2 linked regions of the Drosophila melanogaster genome follow. The protein of the gene in region 2 interacts with the protein of the main gene of each other region in a pairwise test. Each region holds a gene or a part of one and is shown on either strand. Other genes may lie near its edges.

The links. The genes of interacting proteins can lie anywhere in the genome.
Region 1: the proteins of CG34170 (region 2) and CG42853 interact in a two-hybrid assay, tested with the Drosophila melanogaster proteins (one large-scale study listed by BioGRID).

The regions. Positions count from the first base shown.
Region 1 is NT_037436.4:18,120,192-18,124,216, forward strand, and holds CG42853 (uncharacterized protein), read right to left. Parts: upstream 1,799-4,025; 5' UTR 1,737-1,798; coding exon 1,244-1,736; intron 1,187-1,243; coding exon 825-1,186; 3' UTR 741-824; downstream 1-740. Other genes in the region: CG7341 (uncharacterized protein), read left to right, coding at 1-699.
Region 2 is NT_033779.5:17,310,366-17,313,700, forward strand, and holds CG34170 (uncharacterized protein), read right to left. Parts: upstream 1,456-3,335; 5' UTR 1,395-1,455; coding exon 1,206-1,394; 3' UTR 1,103-1,205; downstream 1-1,102.

The sequences.
Region 1 (4,025 bases), on a different chromosome or scaffold from region 2:
CTGGATAATCTTGGTCGTCTACTGGGCAACTCTGTCTTCAACTCTTGGATCGCCCAGGGAACCGAGCAGCTGTATCTGAATCTGTCCTCTGTAAATTTGCCGTTTGATCATATTGATTTTGATGAGATGGCACATTTCATCGAGGATCTCGGAGCAAGAAATGACCAGAGTATGGTGCACCTGAAAGTGCCAAAATTTGGCTACGAGGAAATGTTATGGAGATTGGCACACACAAGTCTTCGCGGGCATATTCATTTGGGCGACCACATTGCAAAAAGCTATGAGTGCCTTAGCATCGATCTGGAGCGTTTTCTGGAGGAAAATTATGTACCAAGGGTTTTCGTCAGCGGTTGCCCGACGGACTTTAATCACTATCAAAAGGTAGTTTCCTTGGATCTAAAGGAACTAAAGTGGACACCGACTCCGACCAGGATGCATCTTCGGCAGCTATGCAGCCTCTTGCGACCTCAACACATCCAGGGGATTGTTCAGTTTCATACGGATGGCATTGTGCCTCCCATTCCGTCATTCCTAAAGATCTTCAAGGCAAACTATTCACCGCAGAGTGGTGCAGTGGTCTCAAGGATTAGGAGTGAATTTCAAGCAGGACAGCCGAAGCAAGGACCCTATCACGCTTTCCGGTCCAGAAGGGCCTTTGAATTTGTGAACGATGGCGACGAAAGCAGTAGTTCGAATTAGGTTAAAGTATCTCCCTATTAGAATAAGCAAGTCGTGTAGCTGTTGTTCCGCACAGTGCCCCTAGGAGTTTTATTTATCCAAACGCTTCACAATATATAAAAATAAATTATTTGAATTGTCTTGAATTAATTTTTTTGATCAGTAAGTGTATCTTCGTCGGACCAGGAATCGGCAAGTCGCTCAAAAGCATCAATGTCTATTTCCTCCTTTACTTTAAAGGCTTTAAGATCATCAGCCGCATTCTGGGATTCCTTGGTAATATCACAGCCGAGTGAGAGATCCATCCCTTCTGGTTGCTTTTCAATTAGCTTTATGGTGTCCTCGTTGCACTCTTTTAAGGATTCCATGTCCAATGCATTCTGGGTTTCGGTCGAAGCGTTTACTTTGGTAATTTGATATTGTTTATTAAATTTAGGAAGTTGTACAATATTTGATGAACGTCTATTCATCTCACACATTTTGGGAATTGTGAAGAGTAGAAACAGCCCTGATATTTGAATGAATTTTGTTATTTTCTTTCATTATTTATTAATGATAGACTTACCTAATTGGCCAACAATTAGAAAGTTAATCTGCTTTCCAAGTTTGCTAATTATTAGGAGAAGGCCAAACCACTTGAATGATTTCGAAAAGCTCTTTACTAGTAATATCTCTCGTAGATTATTTAGAAACGCAACAACTTTGGTTGAAACTAGAACACCCAGTTGCTTAGATAACTCCTGGGAGATTCTTAGGTCTATGTCAAGATATTTCGGATAGCTGTTGTTCTGGATATGGGTATTAGTGTACTGTACCAAAAAACGGTACCCCATTGATATGACCATGATAATCAAAGCCCATACGCTCACCACGAACACAAGCGGTTCAGAAAGCAGATCATAAATTATGGTCTGTAGCATTACGAATACAAGCATCGACTTTATCCAGTTGCGCCACAGGATCAGCTCAGTTATTCCCTCCCAGATGCAGATGAGTTTAGCTTCGTTTACCTCCGCACCGGCTCCAGAAACTTGAACAGAGTTCGCGCTTGTGGCCATATTTTTTTTTTTTTTGAGTTTTTAAGACCTTTAGTACTGAGAAGATATACAAATTACAAAAACTTGGATACGATTGCAACGACAGTAAACTATTCGAATACTAGATTATATTTGTTTTCTATACCCATCACGCGTAGAGTACTAGATTTGTTGAAAGGTTTACCTTTCAGATGGATTCTTTATATTCTTGATCAGGATTGATGGGCTAGTCTATATGTATGTACAATATATACTTATGGCTGTGTCAGTCTGTCCGTCCGTATAAACGTCGAGAGTCTGTGAACTATTAAAGCTGAAAAGTTTAAATTAAGCATGCAGCTTGTTTCACATCCACACATTATTAAATTATAATGTGGAAATTATTGAAATTACCACCACTAACTGAGTAGCTGCCAGTTGAGGAGCTCGTATATAAATATATATATTTATATACATCTATATGCTATATAATACGAGATGCATGTCAAGTACCACCGATACAAGAAAGATCCCAACATTTAACCGCCAAAAGCACCTGTTGCCAATTCGTGTCATCTGTTTAAAAATATCCTTTTACATGAATTATGCAAATTATTCATAAATTGCTTTGTCTTTGCTTGGGGTTGTAAATGGGTTTTCGCAGATACATAATTTGATTGAGTTTGAGCTATCCTTTCTATCGCAAGATATTTAACTTCATATTCTATTTCTGTAATCGGTGATAATAAATTCATTTTAGCTTCTGCTTTTGTACCTATTTCTCTAACCATAGGCAATTTATGTTTTTGAAAATTAAGAATTACTGGTCGTATATTTTCTACTTGATCCCTTACTTGAACGATTGTTAAGTCAAACAGAACGCTTTTCAAGATCTCTTTGTCACAGCTTCGTTCGCGTTTGATCCGCACCGTCAACAAGGTCTTTTATTCCAATTCTTGGAGCATCCTGGGCAAATAATTTTGGCACGAGGTGTGACCAACGCCCATTGAGGGTGTGGTTAATGACACTCAGCCTTCTGTCTGCCAAGTCAATCGCTTGCCAATTGATTTGTCAAAGGCATTACGCTAATATTTTGGGCAAATACGGGAAAAAGTCACTGGCGTCAAAATGACATCGAGTGGTTTAACTTTCCACCCTCAAGATTCAGAAAATAAATGACTTTTGGGGAGGGTAGAGAAAAGAATACTAAAATCGGAATAATTTAAATCAATCGTTCAAAAGCTTTTGATCGCTCGCAATTGCTAAAGGGTCCACTTAATAACAGTAGTATATGTTATATATAAAAAACTTTAAAAGAAAATAGTAGATTCAACAAAATATGATGAATATAAAATGAAAACCTTTCAGTTTGTCGTAAAACAAATATTTCCAATATATTAATCCTGTTTAACAGTCCAACTATTCCCATTTGTAATAGACATTTGTTCATCACCCATTTGAGATTACTTGAGAAATCCTCGTAATTTCTGCCGTCTTCATTTAGAATTACTGGAATTAATATGCAAACAGCAAAATCGATGTATTTGCACATGTATGAATGCAGTTTAATTAAACCAAATTCCCCCATAATGCTCACATCACAAGCTGTACAGGATATTAGAATGTTTGACAAGTTGTCAATGCATCAAGATGCAGAGGACAAGGCAGAAAATTGGCCAGAAAATCTTATCGTTCATTTTGAATGTAAATTAAAACAAATACACATAAAATTACTTAAAACTGCATTGAGTTTCTTTGGCTCCTGTCACAAAATGATGGCCATTTCCATGCAAATGCCTAAAATGTAAAAGGTCGCTAGGGCACGGCACTTTATTTACTTTATATACTTTATTTTTAGATTTTTTAAATATATAAATATTATAGCCAACATATTTATCACACCGTTTTGTGCTCTTTTTATAAGATTCTCCAATTGTTTTTTTAAAAGGTCAAGAAAGGGGAATAGTAAATTGGTTCACAGATGTGACCAGACCAGATTTCTTAGGGTAGTGTCATAAGGGACATAAGACAAGGTCAACGTCTAAAAACCACCTGAAAATCTCAGCAAATATTCTTCTTTCGGCCCGATAAAGTTGTCATACGAGTTCGGCTCCTTCGACGCATTCCCTTCGACTTCTTTATGGCCAGGCGACAATGTCAGGAATTTCTTGTATTAAAATCGAAATGGCCAAGGGCCAGAAATCCATCCCAGACATAGACAATCGTATCTCTGTGAGATGGGGGCCAGTGAATATTTGGGCTTGCCCCTGAGTTCCGGCCGTGTCCTTACAGCTGTCAACATGTTTAATTGAAACTGACACTCAGTGTCAT
Region 2 (3,335 bases):
TTTATGCATCGCTACCTTGACTTCGCTTTTCCCACTCCGCTACATATGTATGCATTTTCCTCCGTACAGTTGTGCATGAAATGTTTAAATACGTTGAGTCCCTAAATCAGGTCACAAATATAAAACATTAGATTACGAATGGGATTTTACAACTGGAAGTTAAATCCCTAAAATAATTCAAATTATAAATAAATTGATGGTTAAAGCGCATCTTCTTATTACATACTAATTGAACTATAATTATATAGTATAATTGTTATAATTTTATAACAAATACTTTAATTTTAGGCCGTGCTGTACTTGTTTGTCATAATCAAATACACTTCCACGTTGGCAAAGGGAGGACCATAAAAGTTAAGTAAATATATAAACACGATTCGGTTTACGCCTGCCTGCCCGTCAGCCTCTTTATTATTGTTGGTTGTTGAATGTTGTTGCTGGTGATGTTATTGATATACGTGAACATATATATATATATATATATATATCAATATATCAATACATATCTGTGCCGCACACACGTAAATCAAAATGTTTGTAAGTTGAGTAAACAACATTGGAAATCAGTTATGTTGTACTGCATTATAAACTACCCAATAAATGACCCCCGTGACTTTTAACGCCAGTGCACTTTGTCTGTAGATTCGAAAAACGTGAATTTCCATTTTCTTTTTTATGCGCTGAACTTTTTTTGTAATTTTTACGATAAATTGCGCGTGAATGATGCATAAATCAAACGAAGTTGAGGCATTTTATATACGAGAGTGTATATGAGCTCTGTCAAATGTATCGACCGAGTAAAAATTTACATAGCATCCGTTTTGGGTCCATCAAGCAGTGATAAATATGTAGGTGCATGGTAATAAGAGCCGGCAGAAAAATATGCACATGCATTTTTAACAACGATTTAAGGATGAATTTCATGAAAATCGAGCTTGATGAATAAAAATATCAATTTGGATTGACGGAATTACGGGATTTCATTTGAGAGACAACTCAAAGAGCTTTGTATGTGAAGGAGAGCTCATAAAGAATATATAACACGCTAATGAATGCATTACACAACTTTTTTTTTGGATCCAACTTTAATCTTTAATGGAATAAAAGGGTTTTTTTTAACAAAATCAAAAGATTTATGTGTACTTTTTTTTAAATTACTTTTTATTTATGACACATTTATGTAGAATTGTCCACATTTAGGGGGATTATGACGTCGGATCTATTCGCTCCCGATTTATATGAAAGTAGGCGAGAAAAATTATGAAGACGGCCAATCCGACGAGTCCGCACCAGAAGCCAAAGGATCCGCAATTGAATCCATCCCGGTATACCTCGCAAATGTCCCCGCCAACAATCAGATTCAGCTTATCCTTAACGCCAGGTGATCCAGCCATGGAATATTTTTCCGGCTCCCCAAATTTAAGCCACAAATTTTGAAGTTTTTCTAAAGGCCGAGAGTAATGTGTGGGCCACAGGCTCCTGGGATTAGGATTCGTGTACGCCGTGCCTCATCGGAAAAGTACGCTAACAATGATGAATCATCATGGAGGGCAACAGGATATGCCTGCAACGTAATTGAATTTAGTGCTAATGATGGCATTGACGATAGCACATAATATTCGGCATTAATTCAAGCAGACATTAATTGATTGATTATTTGATTGCATTATTGTCAATATCACAATTGCAATTTGGTCGCTCCGCTTCAACGGGTCGTCCTGTGTATCTGTATCCTGGGTGTCCGTCGAGCGCGACACATTCGCGAAATTGAATGTTTGTCATCAGGCCAACAACATTGATAATAATAATTTAGCACAATTTACACGATGACAGCCATAATTAATCGATGCAATCGTGCCTTCAAATAGCAGTTGAAACGGGGCTTATTATGGGCACTGGAAATAAAAACGAACTGGTGTATATACTTAAATTGTTTGCATAAAAAACAACAAAAATTTACATTTAACGTAATATTTCGGGAAATTATAAAAGAGCTTCTCAAAATAATTATTTTAGTTACCATTGTATTCGCAGGACACCGCAAATTGTTTGTAATAAAGATTTCACCTGAAGTCCATTCATTTTCATGTTAATTCACTGGCCTTCCTGTAGCAGGTGAATATTTGACTTAAGAGCCGGATAAAACTTGCGTTTTGCTAAAGAAAAGACGAGGGAAATATTTAATTTACATTTAACTTTCTGCCGCCCCTTTCCACTCAGCAATTATGTGGCCCGAGGAGATTCTAAGCGAAATTTTGTGCGCCCTGCAATTATACAAAAATTCTTCTTGGTCTCGTTTCTTTCTCGTATTGCATTATTCATGGGCAGGGGCTAAGCAAATTAAAAGCCAGCTTCCCAGCCCAGCTGGCCAAATAATTGTTTGAAGTTCGCTCTTGGCCTGGCCTGTAATCTGCCGCAGTTTTGGCCACTAATTTCGCCCTGAGACAAAACCGCCTACCGAAAAGAGTACTCCGCAAGCACTAAGCTCAATTGAAATTGCTTCTGGGATAGGGAGGCAAGAAGGAAGACTGCTCGAAATGCCGTAGAGTAATTGAAATATTGGCAGCGAGCTCAACTCGTAAATTATGCACTCGAATCCAAGCATAAAAAAAAAAAAAAAACGAGGGAATACTCACAACAGTTCGCTGTGTAAACTAAAGATAGGGAAAGAGCCAACTTTCCTGAGATTCCCTTTAATTTATAATTTATCAGTTTTGTGCTTTTGAAGCTGTTTTTGGCTGCCCAACAAGAAAACTTTGATTGCGGTAATTAGCAAATTGTGCAACTCTCTCAAGGTCCACTCCCCCTTTTACCTCTTCTACCTGGAAGGCAACAAAATGGTGGTACAAAGTTTGAGTGAAAATGTATATGTTAAACTGCATTACAACATTTAATTAAATATTTAACTAAAAGGGGCAAGTTGTTGGAAATTTTGTATGCGTAAAAGTGTGCTACGAATTACAACAATTACATTTACAAAACCTTTGTAATTGACTTTTTATCAATGCTTTACATATCCCATATATTATAAGCAAACTAGCTTCTTAAACTACCTTTTTATTTTCAGTTGTGTAGTGGGAGTTCAACTAAAGTTGTGTGAAAAGGGTAAGCCGGGTAAACCAATTTGCTCAGGGTCCCTAACATATCTGCCAGAATATATGTATATCGCACAATGAAATTGCCTATGTGGCAATATAGTTTCCTGCCATATATGTATGTAGCTACTGCAGCAGGGAACATCAATTTTGTTTCCCTCCGCCCGGCTTTTATTATTGTTACTTCGAGGCTGCCACAATCCGATGCCCAACCCCTGCTGCGTTTTTGCCAGGTAAAAA